Elephas maximus indicus: one gene and its partner. The protein of the gene in region 2 interacts with the protein of the main gene of each other region in a biochemical or structural test. Links are inferred from orthologs where the notes say so. Each region holds a gene or a part of one and is shown on either strand. Other genes may lie near its edges. The genes, in order: TGFB1 and DCN.

Evidence for each region.
Region 1: the proteins of DCN (region 2) and TGFB1 form a complex in vitro, tested with the Homo sapiens proteins (3 studies listed by BioGRID). The link is inferred for Elephas maximus indicus from reciprocal best matches to the Homo sapiens genes DCN and TGFB1.

Annotation. Positions count from the first base shown.
Region 1 is NC_064829.1:109,831,745-109,847,184, forward strand, and holds the start of TGFB1 (transforming growth factor beta-1 proprotein), read left to right. Parts: upstream 1-9,577; 5' UTR 9,578-9,583; coding exon 9,584-9,938; intron 9,939-12,971; coding exon 12,972-13,132; intron 13,133-14,392; coding exon 14,393-14,510; intron 14,511-15,440. Other genes in the region: B9D2 (B9 domain-containing protein 2), read left to right, coding at 1,490-1,577, 4,410-4,535, 7,371-7,684. UniProt on the Homo sapiens protein: Transforming growth factor beta-1 proprotein: Precursor of the Latency-associated peptide (LAP) and Transforming growth factor beta-1 (TGF-beta-1) chains, which constitute the regulatory and active subunit of TGF-beta-1, respectively.
Region 2 is NC_064822.1:155,620,792-155,636,570, forward strand, and holds the start of DCN (decorin), read right to left. Parts: upstream 5,933-15,779; 5' UTR 5,568-5,932; intron 2,481-5,567; exon of another isoform or gene 2,315-2,480; intron 1,152-2,314; 5' UTR 1,119-1,151; coding exon 905-1,118; intron 1-904. UniProt on the Homo sapiens protein: May affect the rate of fibrils formation.

The DNA of each region.
Region 1 (15,440 bases), on a different chromosome or scaffold from region 2:
TTATGGATTTGTTTGTTTTATAAAGAGGGTCTGGGAGAAAGAGTTGGCGCTCAAAGAAACCCAGCCACACTCAAGATGGTAGCTGCTCGGCCACGCCCCCAATGGCGGAACCTCACGCTGGCGGAGAAGCGCTGCTTTCCCGAACGGGAGCTAAAAAAAAAAACAGGCGGAGAAAACGTCCGTCACAGGCCCGCCCCGCCCCCGAGAACAGCTAGGGCCAATTAGCGGCGCGCAGGACGGGAGCTAGGCCAGGGGTGGAGGCTGCTGTTGCCGTAGCAACAACTAGGGATCCCGGAGGCGGGCACGGCCGTGGAGAGATCGGCCTCTACAGATTTCTCGCTGCCGGGAAGGTCCTGGGAGAGGCGGGAGCCAGGCCTGGGAAGTCGGCGCCCGCGGAGAGAGGGACAGGTCAGACTCAGGAATTACGATACCCTGTGCTGCTTTCGTCGCTATGGGTCGGCATCGACTGGACGGCAGTGGGTTTGGCTTTATGGTTTTTAACCGTTAGGGGTGTTAAAGTCGCAATAAGGCATGCGTTGTCTTGAGGGGGCGCGGCTAAGGCACTTACGACGCATGCGCATCATGGAGCTTCGGGCCGGGCTGACGCTAGGAGGCGGGGCTCTTGCCCTTGTGTGCGGAGCCAGAGACCCCTGGGCGGGACTTTTCGGTGGACTGATACCAAACCAAACGAAACCACTTGCGTTAGGGTAGTTTCCGACTCTTAGGTACCCTCTAGGACAGAGTAGAGCTGCCCCATAGGGTTTCCAAGAAGCGACTAGTAGATTCAAACTGCCAATCTTTTGGTTAGCAGCCGAGCTCTTAGCACCAGGGCTCCGTGGGCTGAGCCAAAAAAACCAAGCCCATTGCAGTTGAGTCCATTCCGACTCATAGCGACCCTATAGCCCGGAGTAGAACTGCCCCACAGGGTTTCCAAGAAGCGCCTGGTGGATTGGAACTGCCGACCTTTTGGTTAGAAGCCGAGCTCTTAACCAATGCCCAGCAGGGTTTCCGTGGACTGAGCCAGAGGTACCCAAAACAAAATCAAACCTGTAGCTGTGGACACATTCCGACTCACAGAGACCCTATAGGACAGAGTAGAACTGCCCCGCCCCGTAGTGTTTCCAAAGCTGTCATCTTTACGGAAGGAGATGCCACGTCTTTCTCCCGTGGTGTGGCTGGTGGGTTCAAACCCCGACCTTTCAGTTAGCAGCTGAGCTCTTAACCACTGTGCCGCCAGGGCTCCTTGAGGTGGAGGTATCTTGGGGTGGGGCAGAGTTAGACGCCAGCTATTGCACCCAGCAGTCCTGTTTTTCCCGGGTTCTCCTGGGAAGACAGGGTAGTGGTTAAGAGCACAGCCTCAGGGGTTTGACGAACCTATCTTGGAATCCTGATGCTGCCATTTACTCTGTGGGTCTTAGTTTCCCTACCTATCAGATGGAGCAAATAATATCTCACAGGGCTGTGATTATACTTTTCCTTTCCCAGGGCGATGGCTGAGGTGCACGTAATTGGACAAATCATGGGGGCCACCGGTTTCTCAGAAAGTAGCCTCTTCTGCAAGTGGGGCATCCACACAGGTATTCCTGGGCCTGGTTTGTTCCCCCCCCCCCCCCCCGCCAAGTCCCTGTGCCCAGAGGCTCCGTGCTCTCTACTTGCCCCCTGACCCAGGTTCTGATCCTTACCTTCCGTCCGCCGTCAGAAATCAGCTGTCCACAGGAGCCTTAGGCTCACTTCATATTCTGCCGTGGGGGCTCTGGCTCCCACCCTAATGAACACGCAGCTTCTAAGCATATGGGACTATAGGCTAGGACCCCTCTCCTGCCAATTCTCAAAACTCTAGGTAGCCCAGACCCCCCCCCCCCCGCCCCGCTTTGGACTTCACTAACTGTCTTAGGGATGCTCTGGGACTCTCCACAGTCTTAATAATAATTCTTTGGTTAACAGTCTCTGTGTATTGAGTTCGTACTGTATAGTGGAAGTTTCTGTGCCCGATTTACAAAGGCAGCCCATTCTCTGGTATTCACAGTCCTCTTTGAGAAGGTAGGAACTGGCAGCCATCCATATCCTTTCATGCAGGTTTAGAGGGGTACCCCCAAAGCCCCCAGTTTTCATGCCTCCCCATCTGAGGCAGTATGCATAGTGGTTAGGACCACAGGCCACCAAATCTGGGTTCGAAGACTAACTCCACCTATTAATTGGAGGCCTTTGGGCCTGAACTCTCTGAGTATCTGTTTCCTTGTCTGAAAATGTGACTAAATAGCAGCTGAGAGGCAGCACAGTGTCAAGATTAAGAGCACAACCGCCTGGGCACAAAACCAGCTGTTGCACTTCTCTTTGCTTTGATTTCTGTACCTGAACAATGGGAATAATTTTACCTCATGGGATTGTTGGGAGGACTAACTTTATATCAGCAGCACTTAGAGCAGGGTCCAGTGGGTAGTAAGTGTTCAGTAAGTGTTTGTCTGGCTCTTGTAAGACTTCGATGGGGTCTCGTTTGTAAAGCCTGGTGTGTGTTGCCTGGCCCATGAAATAGGTATGGCTTTTGCTGTCAGCATCCCTTCAGGCTCTGGGTCATTTGTGATTTCACTGGTAGGCGGGGTGGTGATTCAGATTCCCTGGGGAATTGATATCCTCCAGCTGAGTGGTTAAGGGGCAGGTTCTAGAGTCAGACTGGGTTTCCAGTCTGGGCCCTACCACTCAACTGCCCTGGGACCCTGGGCAGGTGCTGTCACCTCAGTTTCCTCATCTATGTGTTGTTAGGTTCTGTCGAGTCAGTTCCAACTCATAGCGACCCTTTGTATAACAGAATGAAACACTGCCCACCTCTGCACCATCGTCACAATCATTGCCATGCTCGAGCCCATTGTTGCAGCCACTGTGTGAAACCATCTATATCCCTGCTGCCATCATGTCGATTCCGACTCATAGCAACCCTATAGGGCAGAGTAGAACTGCCCCAGAGAGTTTCCAAGGAGCGCCTGGCAGATTCGAACTGCTGACCTTTTTGGTTAGCAGCCGTAGCACTTAACCACTATGCCACCAGGGTTTCCACCATCCATCCTTCATAGGGTTTTTTGGAAATCTTGTATGTGAAGAGCCTGGCTCAGGGCCTGATGCTTCATTCTCTCAGTCTTGTGGGAAAGTGGCTAACATGGTTTTTATTAGTTCAGGGAGGGAGTTGTAGGGGCACGGGGATTGGTCCAGCAGAGAGCTCAGAGGTAGTCTGATTGGGCTCCGCAGTCAAACAGTCAGTGCTGAGCTTGAATCCAGCTCTGCTGTGGGGTCTCGGTCTGACCCAAGTGCCTGGCACACAGTAGGCACTCAGTGAATCTTGGTGGAATGAATGACCAAGTGATTTTCTTTGGCAGAGCTTATTCTTTTACTTCTTAGATCACTCATTTGTCTGACAAGTATTTACTGAGTGCCTTCTGTATACCAAGCATTGGGTTTGAGGTTCTGGAGATACAGCAGTGCACAAGTGCCCTGCTTTCCTGAGGCTCCCAGTAGGGGACACAGAAAATAAATAAGCAGACAGGTGAGCACAGTGATTTTAGTTAGTGGTTGGTGCCAGGAAGAAAAGAGACAGGAGGAGGTGATGGGGACTAATTTTTGGATCGGAGTGTCAGGGCAAGCCCCTCTGTGGATGGATGAAAAAGAGCCACCCACAGGGAGCTCCAGGAGCAGAGCTTTCTAGGCAGAGGGAATGGCAAGTGCAAAGGCCCTGAGTTGGGAATGAGCTCGGCCAACACTGGGGAACAGAAATGGGACCAGTGAGGCTGTGGGGGTGAGGAAGGGGGAGAGTGATGGAGATGAGGGCAGGAAGGTGGGCACGCAGGCCATGCAGAGCCTTAGGCACCGGGTGAGTGTCTGAGCTGGGGGGGTTGGGCTGGGCAGGGTGGGATTAAGAGTGCTAGAGTCAGATTACATTCATTACCTAAAGGGATCAGCACAGCATCTGGCATGTAGTAAGCACTCAGAGCATTTTGCTGTTACTATGCACCCTTCACGGCACACCCAGCTGTGGAGAATACTCTTGGCCTCATCTTAGTCCTTGATCTAGGCTTCTAAATATGGAGTGGGAGTAGTAATAAAATGATATTTTATCCAGCACTCACTATGCCCTAGGCACTGTTTTAAGTGCTTTGTATGTATTAGCTTAATCTCAAAAACTATGAGGAACACATTATTTTTACACTCATTTTACAGATGGGAAGACAGAGGCATAGAAATGTAACTTACCAAAGGTCACAAAGGCAGGAAGAGGTAGTGCCAGGATTTGAACCCAGGCATTTGACTCCAGAGTCTGTGTTTTATAACCCCTGCCCCCAAATGTTAGGGAGAAACGGGGTCCTACAGCCACAGTGGCATCACCCCACTGCCGCATCTCAGTGTCCTGGCTCTCCCCACAGGGGCTGCATGGAAGCTACTGTCAGGCGTGCGGGAGGGCCAAACGCAGGTGGACACCCCCCAAGTGGGGGACATGGCCTACTGGTCCCACCCCATCGACTTGCACTTTGCCACTAAAGGCCTTCAAGGTAGGTTCCAGGCATGGGCCCTGGGCCAGGCTGAGGGGAGGGGGGCTGATAGCACCCTAGCTGCTGGGATGAGAATATCAAGTCTCTGCCCTCTGCCCTTATACCTTTTTCGGTCCCTTTCCCAGCCCAGCCTGGCCCCGGAGAGGCTGAGCTGAAGCATCCCAGGTGGGCTGTAAGGGAATCCCAAGTATGAGGGGCTGGGGCGGAGGCCCGGGGTGGAAGGGGAGGTGGGAAGGTAGGGACCAGGGTGGGAAGGGAGATGGCCTCTAAGTAAAGACAGAGGGAGACAGTCTGCAATAGGGAGCAATCTGGGATGGGGTTTATGAGGGAGAGAGAGACACAGAGGTGAGGGCTTGCTGCTGCTTTTCAGGGAGGGCCCCTTAGCTTGAGAGCAGAGGCTCAGGGGGAGATGAGTGCAGGGGAGGAGGGGTATCAGAAAGCACTTTCTGGGAGAGAGTTTGGGGTATTGCAGAGGAGCAGATTCCAGGCTTGGGAAATAACCAAAAACCAAACCCACTGCCATCCAGGTGATTCCGACTCATGGCGACCCTATAGGACACAGTAGAACTGCCCCATAGGGTTTCCAAGGCTGTAAATCTTTATGGTAGCAGACTGCCACATCTTTCTCCTGCGGAGCAGCTAGTGAGTTTGAACCACTGACCTGTTGGTAAGCAGCTGAGCGCTTTAACCACTGTGCCATCAGGGCTCCCTATATTAGATGATGCCAGGAAGATACCAGTGACTGAGATACCCACAGCCCTGTTCTCAGGGGCCCTACCATCCAGTGGAGGAGACAGACCTGTCCCCACACAGTGACAGCCCAAGTGGACAGGGCTGGGGTGGGGGGCCCCTGGGGCCTGGGAACCGAGAAGAGGTTCCTGACCCTGTCGGGGAGATCAGGGAGGACTTCCTGGAGGAGGGGACATTTGAGCTTTGATGTGAAGGGCTAGTAGGAGCTAGTGAGGCAAAGGACTGGAAGAGAGTTCCTAAGCAGAGGGGCATCTGAAGGACTGAGGGAGGGAGACTAGGAGGGCAGCAGGGAGTGAGGTGGTAGGGGACAGGCCATGCAGGGCCTTGAACACCAGGCTGAGGACCTGAGGCCATTTGAAGGCACTGGGGTGCCAGGGCAGGCGATGGACAAACTGTATTTTGCTTTTAAAAGATCTTCTGGCTGCCAAGTAAGCAATGAATTGGGAGGATGAGACAGGCAATTCTGTCCCCCAACGTTGGTCCCCTCCCTGGTTCACCCCCGGCTCCACCCCAGTCTGTTCCCCACAGGTAGCCAGCGGGACCCCGTGAACATCCAAATCAGATCACGTTCCTGCTCTGTCAGAGCCCTCCCTCCCCTGGTCCCCGTGCCACTCAGGGTAAAAGCCAAAGCCTTCCTATGTTGTCTTAGTTCTCTAGTGCTGCTAGAACAGAAATACCACAAGTGGGTGGCTTTAACACACAAATTTATTTTCTCACAGTTTAAGAAGCTAGAAGTCCAAATTCAAGGTGCCAACTCCAGGGGAAGGCTTTCTCTCTCTGTTGGCTCTGGGGGAATGTCCTTGTTTCTTCAGCTCATTTCCTGGTTCCAGAGAGATCTCCACATGGCTTCGCATCTCTCTTCCCCATCCCTGCTTGTTCTGCTTGCTCCTTTAATCTCTGTTATATTTCAGAAGAGATTGACTCAAGATACACCGTACACTAAACATGCCTCATTAACATAACAAAGACAAATGAGATTATAACCACAGGCATAGAGGCTAGGATTTACAACACATAGTTTTTGGGGGGACACACTTCATAAAACAGGGATTACAGGTCCCTGCACCATCTGGCTCTCACCCACTGCCCCTCTCTCCCCGGCACACTCCAGTCCAGCCCCACTGGCCCTACCAGGCACCCTCCAGCCTCAGGGCCTTTGCCTTAGCTATTCCTGCTGCTGGCCATGCTCTTCCACTAGATGTCCACATGGCCCCCTCGAAGCCTTTGCTAAAATGTCACCTCATTGAAGCCTTTCTGGACCACCCCTTTGTAAAACTGTATCCCCACCCCTACCCTACCCTGCTTAATTTTTCTCCAGAGCAGTTATCACCATCTGACATAGCCTGTAATTTACTTATTTACTATGTTTGCTGTCTAGGATGTCAGCTACTCAAGGGCAGGAATTTCTGTCTGCCTTACTCATGCTGGATCCCCAGCTCCTAGAACGGGGCCTGGCACAGAGGACGGGTTCTGAAGGGAGGGTGGGCCAGGGCCAGATCTCCAAGGGCCTCGGCCACCAGCCTGAGGAGCTGAGCAGTATTCTGAGGAAACCTATGGAAGGGGGAGAAAAGATGCTCGCGGTCACCAGGGGAAAGGGGGTTGGAGAAGACAAGACAGAAGGCCAGTCAGGGAGGAGTGCAGGGCGGGACCCCAGGGAGGGGAGGGGGAGGCATCCAGACAAGGCCCAAGGTGCTCATCTGAGGACTGGGGAAGCAGTGGGGCCACCCTGAGACGGGGACACGGAGGAGGAGGCCTCAGGGATGTCACAGAGGCCAGATCTGAAGGGTCTTGAGTGTCGAGGAAGTTAGACTTTATGCTGAGGATATTGGGGAGCCATGGAAGGGTTTTGAGCAGAGGAGGAACATGGATTTAGAGAGATCCCTCTGGCTGCTGTGTGGGGGTGGAGCAGGAGGTGGAAAACCAAGGAAGAGGCCTGGGAAGAACCAGGGGTGTGAAGGGAGGAGCAGGCTGGGGTCTCCATTGGGTATCAAGGGAAGGGGATTGAGGAGCAGGAGGCTGGACCATGAATATGCCAGGCGGGGCCTTGCCCATCCCCCCCTTTCCTTGCTCCCTCCGGTCCTACAGGCTGGCCCCGGCTCCATCTCCAGGTGTGGTCCCAGGACAGCTTTGGCCGCTGCCAGCTTGCTGGCTATGGCTTTTGCCACGTGCCCAGCAGCCCGGGCACCCACCAACTGGACTGCCCCACGTGGCGGCCCCTGGGCAGCTGGCGGGAGCAGCTGGCACGGGCCTTCGTGGGCGGTGGACCACAGCTGCTGCATGGGGACACCATCTACAGTGGAGCTGATCGCTACCGCCTGCACACGGCCGCCGGTGGCACCGTGCACCTCCAGCTCGGCGTGCTGCTGCGCCACTTCGACCGCTACGGCGTTGAATGCTGAGGGACTCTGCCTGCAACATCTGGCCCCCATCCACACTCTGGACACCTGATGAGGGGCAGGATGGTACAGTGGCCACGAGCATGGGATCTGGGGTCGGCAGGAACTGACTCCAGCCAAGGCATGGTGTGGCTGCTTCAAACCAGTGATTGTGCCTTTTGGCCCCAGTTTTCCCATCTGTAAAATGGGGACTGTGAGGGCGGGGTCATGGGAGCTTGGGAGAAAAGGCTGTGTAGCACATGGGAGGTGCACAATAAAGGAGAGCGATTCTTACAGGTGTATCTGCCTTCTTGACTTCATCTGACCTCTGCCCTGTGCTCCTTCCTTCCACTGACACCCTCCCTCCTCAGGGCCCACCTTTTGACAGGTCTGCTTCCCCCCTCCTCTGCCTCTCCACCTTCAATTCCTTCCTATTCTGGGTGCCTCTTCTTTGACCCCCCTTCCCACCCTGCTGTCTTTTGACCTCTTCTGCAGCCCTATCCTTTGACCCCTTTCCTGGGTACCTCTCCTCTGACCTCTCCTATGCCCCTATCCTCTGATCCCCTCTCCTAGACACCCCTGCTCTGACCTCCAATCCTGCACCCCTACGGTCTGACCCCTCTCGTCCTGGACATCCCTTCTCTGACTCACTCCCGTCCATCTTCTTTCTGACCCCCTCAGCCTCTGTCTCTTTCCCTGCTCTGGGTCACCTCTTTTCTGATCCCCTTTCCCCTGTGTCCCCATCTTTTGACTGAAGCTTCCCCGACAGGTCCTCGTTCTGTGACCCCGCACCCTAGTCGCTGCTTTTGTAGCGCTCGGCCGCCAGGAGGCAGCACCCTGTTCGTGGGGCGGAGCCGGGTGCTCGTCTCCTTCCCCCCAGGGCTGGAGGGACCCCCCTCGGAGCCCGCCCACGCGAGATGAGGATGGTGGCCCGGCCCCCCCATGCCTTCCCCCTGGGGGCCGCTCCCGCCCAGCGCGCTTCCTGGGTGGGGCCGGGGCGGCTTCAAAACTCCCCGCTGCCCCAGCCGGTCTCCGCCGCCGCAGCCTTTCGCTCCCAGGGCCGTACCCCTCCCTCCTCCCGCCGCGGATCCGCCAGACAGCGAGGCCCCCGGCCGGGGGGAGGGGGGACGCCCCCTCCCGGGCACACCCCCGGCTCTGAGCCGCCCGCGGGGCAGCCTCGGCCCGGAGCGGAGGAAGGAGCCGCCGAGGAGCAGCCCGAGGCCCCAGAGTCTGAGACGAGCCGCCGCCGCCCCCGCCGCCGCCGCCGCCACTGCGGGGAGGAGGAGCGGGAGGAGGGACGAGCTGGTTGGGAGAAGAGGAAAAAAAAGTTTTGAGACTTTTCCGCTGCCGCTGGGAGCCGGAGGCGAGGGGACCGCTTGGCGCGGCGCTGTCCCCCAGGAGTCAGGACTTGGGGACTCCGGACCCTCCCCCCGCCTCGGAAGCTCGCTCCCTCTCTGGCCCCCACTCGGCGTCCCCCAGGCGCCCCATTCCGGACCAGCCCTCAGGAGCCGCAAACCCGGACTCACACGAAGACTTTATCACCCCCAGACCTCGGGCGCACCCCCCTGCACGCCACCCTCTATTCCCAGCCTCTCTCCTAAACCCCGGAGCACCCGAGGACTCTTCTCCCCCAGGAGACGAGATCTCTCTCAGAACTGCCTCAGCTTCCCCATTCAAGGCCACCCACCCTCTGGTTTCAGATCTTGCCCATCTCGGTTTTTCACGTAGGATACCGAGGCACCCTCCCCCCGCCCCGTCAGAGCCTCCCTTCCACCCCTGCTCCCTTCTTCCTGAGGGCCTCAACTTTCCCCCCAGACCTTCCTACCTCCCCCTGGGAGACCCCAAGCCCCTGCAGGGGCGGGGCCTCCCCCAACCCCATCCCCGTTCGCGCGCTCGGCAGTGCCGGGGGGCGCCGCCTCCCCCATGCCGCCCTCCGGGCTGCGGCTGCTGCCGCTGCTGCTGCCGCTGCTACGGCTGCTAGTGCTGACGCCGGGCCGGCCGGCCGCGGGGCTGTCCACCTGCAAGACCATCGACATGGAGCTGGTGAAGCGGAAGCGCATCGAGGCCATCCGCGGCCAGATCCTATCCAAACTGCGCCTCGCCAGTCCCCCGAACCAGGGGGAGGTGCCGCCCGGCCCGCTGCCTGAGGCCGTGCTCGCCCTCTACAACAGTACCCGAGACCAAGTGGCCGGGGAGAGCGCCGAGCCGGAGCCCGAACCCGAGGCGGACTACTACGCCAAGGAGGTCACCCGCGTGCTAATGGTGGAAAGCAGTAACAGTGAGCTCCGAGGGGCAGGGGAGCCGGGAGGGGAGCCCCCAGGGGGCGCCGGAGTGCAGGGGTCAAGGGGAGGAAATGGGCCCCTGGGGGCACCGGGATCAAGGGAGGTTCCAAAGAAGGTGGGGCTGAGACCCTCGCAGGTACCAGGTCTTGAAGAGGAGGAGTTAGGGAGCCAAGTAGACTGCTTTCAGGGGGCATCAGGAACATGCGGGATTGTGAGGGGAGTCCCCTGGAGGGACAGAAGCAGTTGAGGTGGGGAAGACTAGACAAGAATGGCGGTTGTGGAGTGGGGGCTGCAGAAAGGAGAGTTCGGTTTGGGAGAAGCGAAGACCCCAGCTTTTGGGAAAGGAGAGGCACGAGGAAGTTGACCCAGAGCTCGGGGGTCGTTAGGTCGTTGGCCAGGAAGGTTAGGAAAGTGGGAGAATGGACCACTTCCAGAGGGCGCGAGGAACACATGGGATTGGGGAGGGGAGGTTCCCAGAGAGAAAAACAGGGAGAATGATAAATACCAGGAGAGAAGGACGCGGGGTCGTGGGGAGGAGGCTAGCCGGAGAGAAGCCGACGCCCCAGGGGGGTGCCGGAGATGTGCGGGAAGGTGTTGTGGGTGCTTCGCATTGGGAGGTGAGAAATAGAGGGTGGAGCCCAGCGGAGGAAGCGACCACCCAAGAAACCTAGCCTACAGGGCATGTGAAGAGGTTTACAGAGAAGGGAGACAGCGTGGGAAAGGTGGATGGAGGGGGGAGGGGAAGTAGTGCGAGCCCCTATATGCCGCGGGGTGGAAGGGAATGGGCTAAATGAGGAGTCTGGCCTTCTGAAAGAAAAAGGAGGGGTGGATGGGGACGACTCTGCAAGCGGGGAGTGAGAACACGGAGCTGGCGGGGTGAGAAAGCCCCACGTGGGCGCCACGCGCGGGGGGAGGAGCCCCGCTTCCGCAAGGGGGAAGGAGGACCCCGCGGAGTTAAAGGCTGGGAGTCAGGACCCCAAAGTCTCAGTTCCTCTCGTGGAGCCTGGGGAAACCCCAGCGTCCGGTCGCCTCACCCTCCCTTCCCGTGCCCCGAGGGCGAGGAGGGGGGGCCGGGGATCGCGCGCGGAGCCTGGGGCGAGACGAGACAGGTCTGGTCCCCGCCCTTGCCGCTGCGTCGTCGCCCGCCCTGCTCACCCCGTTGGGGGTGGAGCGACCGCTGGGCCCGCCCGTCCGCGCCCGCGCTGGGACCCTGGAGTCCCGGCGCCCCGCGTGGCCCAGAGGCTTGGGGGTGATCCCCCGGGGTTCACTTTTTCGCTAGAGCAGTAGACTTGCCGGTCCCCGGGCTGCTTGTGCGCCCAGTTTTCGGGTCCAGCCAAATAACACGCCCCTCATCTGGTTCTCTCTTCCTTTTCCGTCCTTCACCTTCGTTGTAGAGCTTTCACCGATACCCCCCTCCCGCCCCTGTTCTTTCTCTCTAGACTGTCTCTGTCTCTCCCCGAAGCCCGCGTGCCTCCCATCTGCCTGTACGCCTTTCCTATCCCCCCGTCCATCTCTTTTCCTGTCTGTGCCCTTCTTTCTGTCTCTTCAAATCTCCCTCATCCCATTACCATCCCACTCGTCTCTCTGTCCGGGTGTGGGTCTCTGGTTCCTGTCTCTCCTCTCTCTCTTCCTCTCCCCGTGTCTCCGCGGTTTCCCCATCTCTCCCTCCTCCTTGCAGCGCGCTGACCCTGCCTGTCCTTCCTTTCTTTCTCCCTATCTGTCTTGCCCAGCCCCGGCTTTCCCCTTCCCTTGGGGTGTGCTCAGTAACCGCTGGGCCAAGAGTAGGGTTTGTGTATGGGCGCAGGGCAGGGAGTGGTGAGGAATAGGGGGAGGGGGCTACAGGATGGGGTTTCCTCTGTCATTCCCCCTCAGAGCCTGTTTCCACCATCCCTCACCCCCACTATAGGAGACCCAAAGCAGTGGCTTCCAAGTTGATCCAGGAGTTTATGGTCTGCCTTCTCACCCCCACCCTTGAAATTTTCCTAGACTGGAAAATGGCCTTGTTAATTCTCTTCTTCCCCTGCAGCCATTCTTACCTAAGAATGTCATGAACTTCTCTAACCAGCTAAAGAGAGAGTTAAGGGAGGAAGCAATTAATAATAATAATAGTCATTGGCAGGGAGACAGCATAGCCTAGGGGATAAGAGCACCATTTGGGAACCGGAGGGCCTGAGTTTGAATCCCTCCCCTGCAGCTTCCTAGCTATGTGACCTTGGGGCAAATTGCTTCACTTTTGTGCCTCAGTTTCCCCATCTATAAAATGGCTATAATAGTATTTTCTTTGTAAGGTTTAACTATTTTAATGCTTGTAAAGTACTTTGAAAAGCGAGCGCTCTTTAACACACACATTATTGAGTGACTGCTGTATGTATGCAGGCTCTTGTGCTACATGTTTTCCCTGGATTGTCTCATTTATTTTGCACTGTGTTCTGCCATGGGTCCTCATTTTACAGACGAGGGTCTGCAGATCAGAGAGGGGAACTCTTTGGCCCAAGGTTACACAGCGCATCAGTAAGGAGAGTCTGGATTGGAAGGCAGGGAGATTGATGTTACGGTGATTTCCCAAAGAATAACAGGAAACCAAGGCCCAGAGAGGGGCTGTGACACAGTCTGGAGGCAGCAGAGGCATTGTCTGATCGGAATAGAACTGTGCTCCGTTGGGTTTTCAATGTTGATTTTGAGGAAGTAGATGGCCAGGCCTTTCTGCAGTGAACTTGCATTTAAGGCTCCGAGTGCTGGGGAGGCCTAAGCAAGCAGATCAACCCCCCTTGATGGCGGCCTTTGACTGGGTGGTCCATTACAGGTGATGCTTCATGAGAGAGGAGGGTGGTTAGGACCCATTTGACAGAGGGGGAAATTGAGACTCAGAGGGGAGAAACCACTCGCCCAAGGTCACACAGTTAAAAAGTGTTGACATTGAGCTCCAACCCAGGGCTGTCTGCCCTGGAGCCAGGGCAGACTTGGGGTCCACCAGCTCCCCCGCCCCTGCTGAACCGCTGCCATCCTGTCTCCCTGCTCTTCCCATCTAGAAATCTATGACAAACTCAGGCATGGCTCACACAGCATACATATGCTCTTCAACACATCGGAGCTTCGAGAAGCAGTGCCTGAACCCATGTTGCTTTCCCGGGCAGAGCTGCGCCTGCTGAGGCAAAGTTTAAAAGTGGAGCAGCACGTGGAGCTGTACCAGGTGGGAGCACGGGCCAGACAGGTGGGCTGAGCTGGGGTGTTGCTGGTGGCCATGTGGGGCCATAGGAAGGCTGGTGGCCACGAGGTCCATACCCATGAACTCTGAAGTATTCTAATTGTGGAGGATGGAATAGGTCAGACCAGAGCATCGTAGGGCTCTTTGAAACTTTCAGATGTAGATAGCGTCCTAGAATGTTAAACACTCAGACGGTTGGAATCTTAAAAGCTGGACTCTTTAAGAATGCAGGACTCTTGAAAGCTGCAGTCTCTTCAAAGGTTGACACCTCTAGAACTACTCTGTCCAATACGGTGCCCACTAGCCACATATGACTATTTAAGTTAATTAAAATGAAATCAAGTTAAAAACTCCATTTCTCAGTCTCAGTGGCCGTATTCCTAGTGCCTTGCAGTCAAACGCTAAAGCCCCGGTGGCACTGTGGTTATGAGCTACAGCTGCTAACCAAAAAGGTCAGCAGTTGGAATCCACCAGCCATTCTTTGGAAACCCTATAGGGGCAGTTCTGCTCTGCCCTATGGGGTCAGTATGAGTCGGAATCAACTTGACGGCATATTGAACATTAGACCTGCAGCATGAAAGGTGTTACACACTCTTACAGCAAGAGAACCTTGTCCGACCTTAGCTTGTTGGAGACTTGAGAACTCATCTGTATACGCTCAGCCCTAGAGGGTTATATCCCCAGCCCCGGGGACTATTCCATAGCCTTGGCATCCTTGTAGAACCTTAGTCTCCCGGAACTTCTTAGGCTTAGACACTGTGGAATTCCTGGAACAGTATTGAGCCGTGAGCGTTATAGAATGACATCTGACATAAGCCCTTAGAAAGTTATAGACGCAGAATTCGGGTGTCAGAGTTGCTGAACCATACACCTAAGCAGACTCCAGAAAGTTAGCAGCAGAATCTTAGCATCATGGGCTGCCCAAGTTTAAGGTACCAGCATTTACCAGTGAGGAAACTGAGGCCTCAAGAGGGAAAGAAAATGCCACAGCCCCCCAGCGAGGCAGAGGCTGAGCTGCTGGACGTGGTGCCCTGACCCCTGGCCTGGGGCTCTTTCTGCACCTCTCCTCTTAGGGGTGCTGTGGGGGCAAGCGGTTTCTGCAAGACCCCATGATGTGCATGTCTGGTAGGCTGGTGTCTGGGGGCCATTCGGGGGAGCAGATGGTATGGGGGGGCCCAGTCAGTGTATGTAAGGGGCATGGCAGCATCTACCTACTATCTCTCTTTCCCATTTATTATCTCCCAGAAATATAGCAATGATTCCTGGCGCTACCTCAGCAACCGGCTGCTGGCCCCCAGCGACTCATCGGAGTGGCTGTCCTTCGAAGTCACTGGAGTTGTGCGACAGTGGCTGAGCCGTGGAGGTGAGGTCTGCTCACCTGCACCTCCCCCCTTTCTCAATAGGTTGACTGCATTTTTTGTCCTGGGGCCAGCCTGCCTAGCATACCTCCCCATGAGCATGTGTTGGTGTCTAAGAGCTGAGACCTGGCCCTCCCCCTGGAGACTCAAACCTGAGTGACTAATTGATTAATCCGTGAATGGTTTATAGCCCATTTCCTGAGCACCTGTCCTGTACTCTGCCCTGTGCTGGTTGATGCTAGGGACACGGCAGTGACTGAAACAGTTCCTTGGGGAGGCCAGGAACACATCTTTGACTAGGCAGTGATGACCCGGACAGGGCTGCTATGGGGAGCCCAGAGGAGGCACCTGCCCCAGCCTGGGAGTCAGGGAGGACTTCTTGGAAGAGGGGGCATCTGAGCTAATCTCTGGATGAGTAGAATCAGTTGAGCAAAGAAGGGACAAGAGTGTTCTAGACAGAGGAAATAGCCTGTGCAAAGGCCACAAGTTCAGCATCCAGAAGAGACCTGTGTCTGTCCTGTTTGTGGCCCAGTCCACAGGGCCCATGTCTCCCTTCCATACCTCTCTCTCGTTCATGCATTCATTCAATAAAGCAAACAGTTGCCTGCCCTGTGCCCGGTGGTGTAGGGGACACAGTGATAAACAAGACAGCCCCAGGTCCTGCCCCCATGAGGCCAACAGGTACTACTAGACACTTAGGAAGCCTTGCCAGAGTTTCCCAGATGAGAAATGATCAAGGCCAGGACTGGGAAGGCTCAGGGGTCAGGGCCAGGAACAAGGAGGCACAGGCAGAGAGGGCAGGGCAGGGCAGGGGAAGCCCTAAGTGCCGTGGGAGCCCCGAGGAAGCCCCAGATCCCATGGCGGGGGTCCCAGAGGGCTCCCTGGAGGAGAGTGATTGTGTTGAGACTCACAGGATAGGTAGCAGTTTGGCCAGT
Region 2 (15,779 bases):
CTTTCTTTCTTTCCAGTAAACAAATGAACCAAAAAAAAAAAAGGGGGGGGGGAAGAAAAAAAAAAAACAGGAATGTGGATCAGCTGCCATGTAAACTAAGTTCATCTCCTCTTGGCCCATCCACTGGGGCTTCAAATTTCTGAAGATTTATCTTCTGAGTGTATTGCCCTTGGAATTCCCAGGCCAAATTCTTCTAAACGGTGATAAATCAAACTGAATTTGGGATGTTAAGCTCAGGACACATAGATACATGCTCGGTGATGGTAATGAATATTTAAATGATGCCTTATTATAAAGATTTCCTTTGAAATTTCCTGAAAAATGTAAACAGCTGGATTACAAAATGCCAATGGTAAAAGGCGAAACTAAGACCCAGAGATTAAGGGCGTATTTTGGTACTCCAGAGATAAGTTTCTGTTGTAAAATTTTACTCATTTGCTTCTGATAACTGCATACTTTACAATTTAGTCATGGTCAGACTAAGCTCTGTTATCTAGGCTAAGTCAAGAGTAGAGAGACTGTTCAGGTTTTGTTAATACCTACTGTTTCGTGAACGGAAATCATAGAAATAAAATAAGCTATCATCCTGGAATCATAGAACATAATACATTGTGTCATTCAACATTTTATTTTATAGACGGGGAGCTATGAAGCCCAGAAAAATAAAAAGTGATTTGTCCAAGATTGCGAAGTGTTGGAGCCCTGACTCAAAAAAGAAAAAAAGTCTCCTAACTTCAAAGCTACTTGAGTTTCTACCCTCTCTGTTTCCATTACTTCTCATTAGGTGGCACTGTCTTTTGCATTTGAATTGCAGAGATTCAAACTGAAAAGGCTAAACTCTTAAGAGTACCCTTTTGCAAGAATGAAACAAACAAGGTCGGTAAACAGCCTCTGGCCCACTCACCCAAATCAGAACACTGGACAACTCGAAGATGGCATTGGCAGCGGAAGGGGCACACTGGCCCCAGGGGCTCCAGTTCAGGAAGCTCAGGAAAGCTCTCGTCTGGGCCTATCCCAGAAGCTTCATCTTCTAGCATAAAGTCAAATAAGCCTCTCTGTTGAAAGGGTCCTGCCCAGGAAACTTGTGCAAGCAGGAGAAAGACGATAGTTGCCTTCATGATTTATCTCATCTATTTTCACAACTAGGGAACCTAGAAAAGAAATGAAAGGTTTAGGAAGAGTAGTGTTACCTGCCCCATGGTAGAGTGAGCATAGAGAAAAATATTTAAAAAAAACAAAAATCACATTTTCATTTGTTATTAGGAAACAGAGCATTTAAAATATATTTGAAAGGTGATAAGGTACATTATAGACTTAATTGGCAGCTATTTACTTAAGAAGCAACATTTATTTAAATATGTTATTCAGATCTACTTGCTTTCATCGTGGGTCTGAATTAAAATGATACACTATATTTTTACATCATTTGCAAAATTGTCATGATAGTATATCATGGTGGACTTTCCAATGCTCATTCAACATGAGCCATGCCACAGTGAAATAATGTTTTGTTCATACACATGAGAGATCTCAAATTTCTGCTTCAAGAAATATCTCTGGAAGCCAATCTCAACTCTCCAAAAATGAAAAACCAAGCCCACTGCTGATTGTAACTCCAAGTGACCCTATAGGACGAAGTAGAGCTGCCCCATAGGGTTTCCAAGGCTATAAATCTTCACAGAAGCAGACTGCCACATCTTTCTCCCAGGAGAGGCTGGTGGGTTCCAGTGGCTGACCTTTTGGTTAGCAGCCAAGTGCTAACCACTGTACCACCAGGGCTCCTATCTCATCTCTCCAACCCACTATAATTATCTTGATGCAGGCCCTTCTCATCACTCCCTGAGCTATTGCAAAAGCTTCCAACTAATCTCTGTCTTGAACATTCCCTCTTTTCCATGCCACCTTCCACTCTGTTGCAGGAATGGCCTTTCAAAAAATAAATTTCATCTTACCGATCTTCTACCGGAAACTCTGGTGGTGTAGTGGTTAAGTGCTATGGCTGCTAACCAAAAGGTTGGCAGTTCGAATCCACCAGGCACTCCTTGGAAATTCTATGGGGCAGTCCTGTTCTGTCCTATAGGGCCACTATCAGTCGGAATCGACTTGATTTGGTTTGGTTTTTTGTTTAATCTTCTACTGAAAACCATTGGTTGACTTCCCATGGCTTGCTAGTAAGTCCATAGTGTTACTTATAAGATCATTCACAGTTCGTTGCCAATGTATATTTCTAGCCACGTTTCCCTCCATTTTCTTACCACTCCCAGTCTCCACCTGTATCCTGACATTCAAAACTAATAGCCATCAAATTACCTACCTTGTAACAGTGTTGTAAAAAGCAAGTAAGATAATGGGCTTCCCTTCTGTATTTCCCCGTATATCCAGGGGAAGAGGTTGCTTTCTCCTTCTTCTGAGCTCCCAAAGCACGTTGCTCTTACCTCTTTTAAAGAACTTATCACATTATATTGTAATTTGTTTTGCGTGCTTGGTCTATTCCCCCACTAGGCAATGTACTCATCCAGGGCGTGTCTTATTATTTTTTTGTTCTGTATCCGGACCTTACATAATATTTTGCACATAACTCAATTGACTATCAAATTATTAACAATACAATTTATTCAATTTGTTCCAAGCAACCAACCAATTCCTTTTTTTTTTTTCCCCCCCAAAACAAAATAAAATTGTCCTTTTTTCAAAATCTAATTCCTGGTACAGGAAAGTTATTGAATTGGAAACCTCAACCTGATATAAAGCAAAAGTCACTTTTTAAAGTGAATCTATTGGTTGGTTTCCCAAACTGATCTTTTGAAATAAAGAGATAAACATACATGGGGAAATCCTAATTGACTTTTATATGACTTATCAGGCTTTACCAACTGGGCTATTTTGTATAAAGAAAACAAAAACAAAACAAAATCACTAAAAGTTAAGTTTCCATGGATCCACATAATATGTATTACTTCATTCAACAAGCACTTATGATCTATAATTCTTTGTTGTTGAGTTGATTTCATTAGCTGAAGCGAACGTTTTATTTTCTTAATAAATCTGAATAACAAAACTGAGTTGGTCATGTAAAGAAGAGGTGGCTTATTTTTAAGACGATATATTTTTAAATTCTATTCAAACTGTTCCAAGTGTTCCCAAAGCATATTGTAGACAAGACTTGCCTTTAGCCTGATTCTCTCTATTTTGGACTGTATACTTGCATGATCTACACTAAAACTGCACATTTGTAACTATAATTAAATACGTTGTTTCAGGTCATCATCCAATCAAAATATATGCCAAAACAAACAAACAAACAAACTTGTATGCCCTAACCTTAATGTGTCTTCTGGAAAGTTTTGCCTAGATCCACTACAGATGGAATAAATATTTTTCAATTTTCTTACATTTTTGTTCTTAGTTTATATTTATTACCAAACTCTGTCTAAGGCAGCGCATACGTAATATGCATTGATGGCTTTTCATTTATAAAGCGCCATACAGATCATGGTTCACACTAGCATTTTAAATTCAGCATCAAGTTTGCTGTAGGAGCCCCTTCCCCCACCCAGTGATTACATTGCCCTTTAAGAGGCGAGCCTATTGTTTTGGCCTGGCAGGGTTTACTTAGGTTGGATCTAAGGGAGTGATTTTCTGTCTGTTTCATATTAAAATGCAATGTTTATGGTTTACCACAAGTTTTCGGGCCTTGCATGTTTAATGTCCTAAACAATTTTAGAAGAAAAATGAAGCAAAGCAATTGCAGATTTAATAAATAGCAAGCAGTTGCAGATTTAATAAATAGCAACAAGAATTAATACAGATGTCGCTTTTTGATCTTTTCTCCAGAGCAGGAAATGCCTGGTTGTCTCTGTAACAACTCCCCCACCACCTCCCTCCCCCCTCAAAAAAGAAACTTTAAGTATTAGCTCAGAGGAATATTATCATTTATATTTGTTTACTCTTATTAAAATATTGCAGATTCTCTGCACAATATGCTTTTTGATTGACGCTGAATGCAAAGAGTTAGTAGCTTCAATTAACTTATTATATACCACCTTCATTTACTCTGTGTGTGTGTGTGTGTGTGCGTGTGTGCATTTTAACTCTAATGCCCTGGGGAAGAAAAAGAAAAGTAGCTTGTCTAGAAACTTTATATAAATTCCTTCATGAAATAACTTCTTTGCAATTAGTGTCGTGAAATCTCAGAATCTTAAAGCAATTAATGTGTGCTTCGCATAATAATAATTTCTTGAATCCTTTCTTTCTTTCCTTAATATGTCAGAAAAATTACCAGCCCACAGCAGCTGTTCATGTAAAAAGCAAGGCAGCTAATTTTGAAATATATACTTTTTCCAAGTTTTACTGAAATGGCTTTAAACGTTCTCAAAATGTATGACTCTTTCCAAATGCTAATTGCTAGTATAATGTTGCTACACTTCTAAAATTAGTTGCCACAGTTTAATAATTTTTATCAAATAGATTAATTTCTAGCTCCTAAAGTACTTTCAAAAAAAAATTTTTTTTTTTAAAGTACTTCGGCCCTTTAAATTAACTGTATCATTGAGCTCACTATTTATACGATGTCATATGCTTTTGGTGTGAATTTCAAAGTCAAAATTTAACCCTCAGGAGACAAAATAAAGCTATAATTGCAAAGAAAAGTTACAATCCCCCTTCACAGGATGTATTAGAAATCTAAAAAATAACAGAAAAAATGAAAATATTAGGAATAAAAGCAGCATTTACCCATACATAGGGACTGCTATAGGGGCATTTGGCTCTTTTTTCTGATCAAAACAGCAAGAGGAAGAAAAAGCCACAGGTATTTACATCACTGGGAGCCCACTTACTGACTGGTCACCCTGTAACCCTGCCTTGAAATTAGAAAGAAAAATAACCCACTTCCTCATTTCATCGTGAATGTATCTTATAATAAAATTTCATTTGAATTGAAAATATCAACATGGTTGCTTTTCCTTACGGTTAAGGAATTATGCTGCTAACCATGAGAAGAGTTTAGGTAGATCTTTAATATCCAGCATACATATTTTCAGTATTTATTTTTACTTCCCTGATGATAATTTCTATTGTTTTCTTGGGATGCAGAAATACACATTGGACCTATATAGCTAATCACCAGAATTCACTTCTCGGCTGTTTTAAACGATCTCAAAGCATACAAGAACTCAGGAAGGAAAGATATCAGTAGATAAATAATTTTACTACAAATAGCATGCTAGCCTAGAAGGCTATTCTGTTAACACCTTCTCAATAGCTAAACATTTCATTAGTACAAATACAGAATATATCAATGTAGAGAGTTATGGTGTTAGGTTTTTTAATAAACACCCTTGCAAGAAGAGAAAAGAAAAAAAAATTAAAACAACGCATTCAATCATTTTACCAAGTAATTAACTAGTTTTCAAGCAATACTTTTTCTTGAAATGCTGCCTAAAGATTATCAAAAGTTTAGTACATTTTTTTTTCTTTTTTCTCACCAAATAATTCTTTTTGCTCTCAACTTGACCGCAGTTTTATTAGTCTGTAGCAGAGTTCAGGACAATTATTGAAAACCATACCTTTTAATCCGGGGATTTGCCACAGGAGCCCTCAAAGCTGAGATGTAATTACACTAAATATTCAGCCCAAGGAAAAGAGTTTGCAGGTGTGGTAAGGAGGAGGGGGTTAGGTGCTGCTCTGTGACTGTCACTAGGTTGAAAACCTCCTGCTTCTACTCCATAGCACAGTTAAAAAATAAGGTTTCCCTCAATGAACACAATCCGGCTGACACCCACATTAGATCATATGGTAATGATATGTCTCCTGTATTGAAGCCAGAAACTTTATCGGCCTTTTTTCCCTCTCCCTTTTGCTTTATTCCTTTTGCATCTGTTTAAGATTCTAAAAAGCTTATGTAGTGCTGCAGAGCAACTTGCCTTGAAATTTGTCCTATTTTGTTGATTCATTTCCCTAAAAATATTGTCAGGAAAGGGTTTGTTTCCCCACCCCCAATTCACTCCACTCTCCACTCTTTCTAGCCTTGTTCCTAAGTCACATTTATCATACTTTCCAAATAACAAATAATCTTTCTTCCAGCATGTAGACGTCCAGCAAATGGAATGAAATTGATCTTGTAGTTATTTTAAATGTGGTCTGCAAAAATAAATGAGTAGCCTTATGTGAAAATACTCTTTCGGATTCTCACTTGCTTTGGCATTTTTGCGCAAATTCGAGTTTTTCCATATATTTTTAACATATTTCTAAAGAGTTCTGGAACAAAGCCATGGTTTTATATAAAACACACCTCACATATTATTTTCATTACTCATAGTTTAAAATCTCTTTTGTTGCCACCAGTTTTTGTTTGTTTTCGTTTTTGTTTTTTTTAAGAAAACACACAGATAACTAGAAATTGGTCACAATTAAATTTAGCCCGTATTTGAAACATTTGATTTTAATAGACTATTCTTTTATGTAATCTAGAACTTTGAAAAAGCAGTAGATTCTATGGCCGTTTCCAAATTTCAGTAAAGGGGAAAGAAAAAAAAAAAAAAAACAGTACAAATAAAAGGAAAGATATTTATTTAGCCACTGGAAAGCTTTTTTGTGTTTTTGTAATTCCCTTGCTGGATGCTGTTAGTTCTCTCTGTGTAAGTCTCTGTGTTTTGACTTGTATCTTTTATGCTCTGGCCCCTAGGCTGTTACCAGGTGGAAACTTGAAATCAACATGTGTGAAACATGAGAGGTTACCTTCTCTCTGATCCTTCACCCTCTCTCCTTCCTCTCCTGTCACCACCTAAGTCTACACTTTTACAGTAAAAAATCTTCTGCCTTGATGAAACTCGAAGGAATTAAATCCTTGAGTGGGTATTTAAAGGAGGGCGGGAGGTGTTACCAAATTATATTTTGCCTTCTTTCTCTATTCCTGAGTAAACTCATACTTCCCAGCACTCAGGAGCTGAACAAATTAGTCCCCTTGATTTCCCAAGCCCATCCTTCCCAATTTTAACACCTCACCTTTTTTCCCTTCTCCTTGACATTTAATGACCAGATACCCAGTTATTCCGGTGGTTTCCAAAAATGAAAACACTGTTTTCCCTGGGTATTGGTGCAAGTCCATGATCCTCTCACCTGAAATTCATTAATGTTCTCCTCTGAACTCCCATTGCATAGCATTTATCTCTTCTTTTATGACGTGCAATCCTACTTCATATTATAATTATTTATGTACATGCCTCACGCCAAGGCAGGAAGTACATTGTATTCATATTGGTAGAATCCCTTCACTCGCATCCCATTGCCCTCGAGTCCGTTCAGACTCGTACCAGTGACCCTATAGAACAGAGAAGAACTGCTCCATAGGATTTCTAAGGAGTGGCTGATGGATTCAAACTGCCCACCTTTGGGTTGGCAGCTGAGCTCTTACCCACAGCGCCACCAGAGCTCCTCACTCAGCGTAGTGCATGGTGTATAGCCCATTCTCAATAAACGTCTAATGAATGAGTAGACAAAAGTAGTCAAAGCATTGGCTGTGGACCATATCATGATTATTGTTTTGCTCAGCCCCTGAATTGTTTCTTATTAAAATCCAGCTCTAAAAGTATATATGATAAATTAAGGCAATGATTATTATCTGAAAAAAAGACAGGAGGCAGAGGGGAATTAAAGAAGGCGTAGAAGGGGAGAAAAGACATGTTAGTTTTGATACGGATATCATTTTACTTTTAAAAAAAAGAATCATTTTGATTAAGGTTTACATCCTGATTTCCCTCCTCCCCCATAGTACATGCAATAACTCAGGCAACTTACTTAACCTCTCTGAGTTTCAGTTTTCTTATCTGTAAAATGGGTAAAAATTAGTACCTACTTTATATTGTTGAGCCCTGGTGGCATAGTGGTTAAGAGCTATGGCTGCTAACCGAAAGGTTGACAGTTCAAATCCACTCAGTCACTCCTGGGAAACACTACGGGGCAGTTCTACTCTGTCCTATATGGTTGTGTGATTCGGAATCTGCTTGATGGCAATGGGTTTAGTTTTTGGTTTTCTAGTGCTGGGGTAGAGAGACAGTATATGAAGCACTTAACTCCTAGCACCGCCCTTCGAAATTAAGCTTTTTATACGCTTTTATTTTTTCCCTGACATATTTTGTAGCAATTAAAATTTGGACAAGGGAATTGAGGTTGGGCAAGGGAAATACTATTTACTCTTTCCATTTCACAGGTGAGAAAAATTAACCCCAATGACCTGCCCAAGTTCACAGAGCTGGTAAAAAGCAAAGCAGCAACTAATACTCAGGTTGTCTCACAACGAATTCAGTGATCCTTCCATTACTATACTGTGTTTTAAGGAAGATCAAAGTCTTAGTATAAAGAGAATTAATCATAAAAATTTAGGGTAACATGTCTTTGCAGACTATTTTAAAAATTGTGACCAAGCGACAATCCTTTTTAACCAACCAACCTGTTGCTGTCTCATCCGCTTCGGCTCATGGTGACCCCAAGTGTATCAGAGTAGAATTGTATTCCAAAGGGTTTTCGATGGCTGATTTTCATAATAGATCAACAGACCCTTCTTTTTTAAAAAACTGTGACCAAGTGACAATCCTTTTTAGAATTTTTACATTTGTGCAGGAACAAAAATAAATATTCCTTTTTATTTCTAGAGATTCCTTTTTGTTTCACCTCATTTCTAAAATTCCAAGCATCTTCACAAACATGATCTTAAAATTTTTACCTTTAATCAGATGTTAAGTTACATATATTGGCACACCTATTTTTAGATGGAAGAAACTAAGTCATAACAAAGTCATATTCAGATAAGTCACAAAGAGGTCATGGCACTATCACAGACTCTAGGTCTCTTGCAATCTAACATGAAATGGGGCAATTTTGAGGGTAGAATCAGTGCTTATGCAGAGATTGCCTAAGCTCATCCTGGTCTGGAATGTTTGGTTAGGGTTCACTGAAACCTTGGCAGCCATATAGATATTTGAAATATTCAGATTCAAAGCACATACCACATCTGCTGTTAAAACCACTTAAACTGTGATTTCTACTGACAACCCACTAGCTAACGGGGTAACTCTATTCTACATCTTGTCAAAATTTATTTCAGGGGTATTCACTCTTTCTCATCATCATCAAAGACAAGTGATTTAAATTGTACCTGCATATTAAAGATACGAAGAATGCCAGAGCTTAGAAAGGTCTCCTTCTGACACCCTTTTATTTTCTAAGAGGTCTGGATGCATTGGTTATCTTTACAAACCTGATGTGACTGGTTTATTCTTAGATTGACTCTTCATATTCAGGTCAGAGGCTGGAATGGATTGTCTGGCTCTGTATTTCGCTGCCATAAACAGATTTCTTCCATAGCCACAAAAGAAGAGTAGTGTGGAATTCAGGGCAACTTTGATTGCAGGATGGCCTGAAATACAATTTGGTAGTAAAATTTTTTCTATCTTGGCAATAATATTCTTTCTTCCCACATGCCTCTGCCTACCCCAGGCCATCACCACTGTGTTCAGCGTTCTTGTATTGGCCCTCTGCTCTGCACATCTACCTCAAAACCACGCCTGACACAGTGTGGTTGTTTTTGTTGTTGTTACCCAACCACTCTGATGGGTACAGTCCAACTGAAAATCTCTTCCAAATTTAATGTAAAAATGCACTATTTTGAATTTTAATCACTCAGGTCTTAATAAATATGATGAAATATCATACTTTAAGAGACTGAATATGTCGACTGAGAGAAGAATATAGAAGACAGTACTGGTCAAGATGATTGACCACCCAACATACATTCCACTTTGAACAATTGGCCTAGCCAATTATCTTTACCCTGTTTCCTTTCAAGAATTACTTTAGGAAGGGCATGTCACTCAATTCTGATCACTGGTGTCATGAGAGGGAGTCAGCTGATGATGCTTCATTAAGGTGTGATATAAAGAAGAGATGGCTCCTTTTTTTCCCTCTAGATATTTTTATAACTCGATGTGATGTCTGGAACTTCTGCAACTAATGAGTAATAATGAGGAGTCACAGACCTGAGAGAAAGGTTCACCCACTGAGAATAGAGGAAAAATGAGATGGTATTTTTTTAGTTGCTAAATTGGCCCTGGAACTCCAGAGCCAATTTAGCAACTCAAAAAAAAAAAAAAAAGTGTCAGGCTGAAGTACAACCTGAAAGCTCCTTAGAGTGAGGATGGGGAGACTTCAACTTATGTACTTTGGACATGTTATCAGGAAGGACCATTCCTTGGAGAAGGACATCCTGCTTGGTAAAGTACAACATGGATTGATACAGTGGCTGCAACAATGGGCTCAAACATAGCAATGATTGTAAGGTTGGTGCAGGATCAGGCAGTATTTTATTATGTTGTACATAGGCTGCTATGAGTTTGAACTGACTCAACGGCACCTAACAACGACAACAAAGAGCCCCTACTGGGCTTCACATTACATGAGATGAGATATTTTTCAAAAGTTTAGAGTTCAACAATTTTCTTTTTTTTCCTGTAAAGAGTTGAATAGTAAATATTTTAGGCTCTGAAAGTCATAAGGTCTCTTAGCAATTACTCAACTCTGCCATTGTCTCATGGAAAGAGTCATAGACAAAACATACATAAATGGGCATGGTGGTATTCCTATAACATTTTATTTATGAAAAGTTGTGTTAGGCTTAATTATTTAGCCAATGGATGGTAGTTTGCCAACTTCTGGTTTAAGTCAGTTTGTGGAAGAGCTTGCTGTCAATGGCAGTTAAAAGCATCCAAAGTCATCAGTCACCTAATGAAATCTCTTCCTAGGGATATTTACAGAGGGTAGAAGCAGGGCCATGTAAAAACGGAACTACCAGTGCTCTCGCAAGTTTTTCCGAACTCAGAATTTTTTTTTTTTTAATTTTAAATAAGATTTTAAATGGAAATATAGATGTCATCGAAATATGTTGGGCAAGGTGGAGGTATGGTAAAATGGCAGGGTCAATGAGTCTCTGTTATTCCATTGCAACCATTTGATACAGAAATTATTAGAGTTCTCCCTTGGCATCTCAAGCCTCAAGACTGTAACATTTTCTTTCACCTTCTTTCTAATATCTGTGGAATAGCAGCACAGTACGGAAGCTCAGTATTGGCCTTAGAGTTTAAAAAAAAAAAAAAAAAAAGAGCTATCTGACTGTAATGGGGATCTGTCTTGGAATCTACTATAAACAAGTAGGAAAATGCCATTAGCACAAATTTATACAGATTCTGGAGACTGGCTGCCTGGTTTCAAAACCTGACTTACTACTCGGGAGCTTCATGACCTGGCACAAGTGATTTAAACTCTCCTCCCCTCAGTTTTGTTTGTTTGTTTGTTTGTTTGTTTTTAATTTATAGAATGAGCACAACAGCAGCACTACCTGCTCCATAGTATTAAGGTGTGAGGTTTAACAAACGTTAATATGTAGAAGCATGCCTGACACATCGCCAACAGTAGATAAGTGCTCGTTGTGCCTTCTGCTGCTGCTGTGGTGGTGGTTGCTACCAAACCTCCCCTTGGATACTGCAGTTCAATAACCAGACTACATTCTTTTTCTAGCCGAAGGTGTTTTCTAGCAGTCCAGGAAATCACCTAAACCACGGTGTAGGTGGAAGAGCAAGATGTTGCAGGGAGATAAGCTTGAGTTTTAGATCTCACATTGCACTCATTAAACAATGTCTGTTCTTTTTTATGCATAAAATTTAACTGGATTCCAAGTCACCCTGAAATCTATTCATGGACTTTTTAAGGATCCAGTGACCCCAAAATAAAAATCTCCGCTCTGAAGATGAAAGCAGAGGTGAGATAACGACAGGGACAGGATGAGTAATGAAATGAGAGAGAACAGGTGCGGGGAGCTGTAGCTCTCTTTCACTGCAAGATTTTTAATGCCTTAATTCCCTGACTCAAGCATCCTCAGCAGCATCTCCTTTGTCATTGGCAGTCAGAGGATTTATTATTCTTTCTATTCTATTGATCAGTCAGTTTATACTTAGACAATAAGCTAACTTTTGTTGAATATCTATTAGGGTATGCAAGGCACAAACCTCTCTATTAAATACAAGCAAATTGCCAGTAATCAATAAATGAATTAGTAAATATTGACTGAGAAATTATTATGGGAAAAGCATAATGTCAGGTTTTGTGGAAGATACAAAAAAGCACAAAGTACAAAGCACATAAACTCAAAGTACTTACGCTAGAGTAAGGAGATAAAGCATAAGCAAATTAAGAATGTACACACATATACACATATATAATATTATATATATAAAATACTATATTACATGTTATAATATTTATGTATATATGTTTTAATAAATACCAGAAAGCTTATAATACACAATGCATTATGTAATCCCTGGCCAAAAAGGGAAGTATGATCTAGAGAATATAATTGTTTTAGCAATTTAGAGGAGCAATGGGGAAGAGATCACTTTACACATGGGTGATTACGTAAGCATTTATGGAGAACAGGTAGAATTTGAGCTGAATCCTAAGGGATAAAAGGAACGTGCATGGTGTGAAGAGAGGAGGCTATCTAGGCGGGTAGAATGGCACTAGTAAAAACTCAGCTGTGGGATATCAGGAGACAATAATTAAATTAATGTGCTTCACTGGAGGGCTTTGTTTCAAAGAAGCTGCCAAATCCTTCAAGTGAGTCTGTATCTTCATCATCCTTGTGTATCTAATGACTGCAATGGCGTGTGACCTACTGAAGTCATTCAATAAATACTCAATGTTTGTGAAAATAACTAAAGAGAGATGAGAGAAATGAGATAGAGTCTGACTGAAAAAGGGTGAAAGTCTTCCAAAAAGCTCTTATTCTTTCATTTTCTCAGCAAATGCGTATTTAGTACTTAAAATGTGCCAATCACTGTGCTAGAAGCTGGATGTTATTGAAGCTCTTTGATGAGAGAATAACACGGTTAAAACTCTGTTTTGGTAAGTCAAATCCGGCAAGTATGTGCAAGGCAGTGAAACTAGAGTCAAGGAAACCAAGTAGTAGGTTACTGCTAGTCTTGGCGTGCTAATATTTTAGCAACAAGAAGGTAAACAAGGCAAAAATAGAGCTACTACTTGGGAAGCTGCTGTGATATGTCAGTAGGAAATGTTTGGAGCGCTTATTCCGTGCTAGGTATTGTGGTATGTACTTTGCATTCATTATCTCAGCTAAGGCTCATAATAACTCTATCAGTTGGACACTATCATAATCGCTTCTTTGAGGCAGAAACTGAGCAGAAAGGACATTGAAAAAACTGCTTTAAAATCAGAGCTAATGAGCAAGGCAGCCATGGTCTCCAGACACTTTTCTTCCCCACTCCCACCAGCTGCTTCTGTCACATGAGCAGTGACAGGGAAAGACCTGACTGTTGGAGCTCCTGTTTTGTTTCCATCTTCATCTCCAAGGAGAACCTTCTTTACGTGGGAACGAGCAACCTATAGAAATGATTACATTAACTGAAGCTTTTCATACATGCAAAAATCGTAAGAACTTATCATTTTATGTGAGTTCAAGTTCTAGGGTATTAAAAAACGTTTAGTCTTGATAGTGAACCTAGAGTGAGGAATAATGGAGAAATCACGCCATCTGAATTAAGGAATGAAAGAAAGAAGGTTTAATATGGACTCTTTCCCGGATTGGCTGAATTCTCACATGTGTTGAATGAAGGCTTCCCACAGTGATTGACTGCAGAAATGTTGACAGTTTACAGATAAGACCAGCTTGGAAGCTGTACGTATTGGAAGTGAATGAAAACTACAAAAGAGAAAGACAAAAGCCAGGCACCACCTGGAAGACAACCTTCTTGGCCAGTGCTTCTGGTGATTTGCCTGTTAGTTAACTAGTCCTGCACGAAGTAGGACCTGGTACTATAAGCCTGCAAAGCAGACTTCTTCGGCAATGCTATACTTTCTCTTCAAACAAAGAAAAACATCCATGTGAAGGTGAAAGTTCAGGCCAACTATAAGATGCGATTGAATAGGATAATGTACAATGCCCGAATTGTTGGAAGCAAAGAAGACCTTGAGTTTGTAATTTCCTTCAACAGAGATAATTTTTCTTCAATAGCTTTTTGGTTGAGCACACAGACCCTGGAGCCTGATTGCCCAAGTCTGATTTTTGACTCTTTCACTGACTGTCTGTGTGGCCTTGGGCAGTTTCCCCATTAATGATAGTACCTACTTCATATGAGGATAACATGAGTTGATTTTTGTAACGGGTTTAGAACTTAGGACATGCCACATAAGTTTATGTCAGGTAAAGAAAATTTCAAATGGGCTGAGGATTTTGAGGCATTTGTTTTCTCTTCCTGCATTTTATTCATATTCTAGCCTGAAAGTTATGTCCTGTTTATTTTGGAGTTCTAAATGCTGATCATGTCTGTGTAGTGTGTATTTACTGCATGACACCTATTTGGTCTGTAAATACTCTCCTTTCAATATACCCTGTATCCTAGGAAAAATAAATGTTCCATTGCAGAGTACAGCCCTCCAGAATTTAATTAGGCAAGTGAATGAAAAATTTTATTCTAATGTCTTCAAAACTGCACAGTAAAATAACGAGTTAGTTTCAGAACTTTTTCTGAGATAGTTACAGCCCCTTGGGAATTATTTGATTCAAGTTATCCCTTTAATGACAATAATTCATCCCCTGTAATTTGCCTTGTTAATCTTTAACAAGAGTCATTTCTCTAATAATTCATGAGATGATTTTTTTATGGCAACGTGTATTAATGTTTGAAGCATATGAGCTTTTTTTTATTTTTGGAAGCAAATCTGTATCTTGAATAAATCCACTTCTAATACCTGATGAAACATTACTGTTTAGGAATAATCAACGTGTCCATTCTTTCTAGAATGCTGTCTAAGGATATCATTTATAAAAGTATTAAATCATCAATATGTGGCTTGCTTTATAATTACGAGCTTATGAGGATAACAAATGAAAATTGAGGCATGATCACATTTGAGGTTTCAGGTTTAAATTTCTGGAACTTTCTTCATCAAAAGGTTGGCTTCTCCTGAACCATCTTCATTCCTGCAGGCGTTTTGAAAACTAAAGTTTCAATAACTTCCCTAGCATTACTCATGGACTGAGACAATACAAAATCCAACTAGAAACAGAGTATGTAATTCTTCCCAGGGGCCAACAACCATGGAAATTTGTGCTTTAAAACAGCCCTCTAAATAGGTGATTTGTTAACTTTCTGAATGATAAAAACATTATGCGCCTGTCTGTGGAGAGTGATCCCATGTGGTAAAAGCTGCTGAGAGATTACAGGAAATACTGCAAATATTTTTTGTTTTTAATTCCATGTAGTTGCAAACATTTATGGTTGCCAGCTGGCAACTAAAACATGGAGGCACCAACATTACTTTAGCAAGTATTTAATGATGCTGTTACATATCCTACAGTTTTGGGAGCTTTTGGTGAGCTAGTTTCTTTCAGACTTTAAATGGGAGGGTAATGGAGTGAGAAGAAACTCTCAGAGTCAATGAATAGGCCAGCTCTGTGTTGCAAGGGAAGAGCTTCTTCTAGGACTGCTGTGTGACATTGAGTAGATTCTAACTCGTAGAGACCCTATAGGAGACAGAGTAGAACTGCTCCACATGGTTTCTTAGACTGAAATCTTTACAGGAGATCACCAGATCTTTTCTCCCACAGAGCAGCTGATGGGTTTGAACCATCGACCTTTCAGTTAGCAGCTGAGTGCTTAACCACTGGACCACCAGGGCTCCTTTCATCTAGTACTAAAACCACTGGGCCT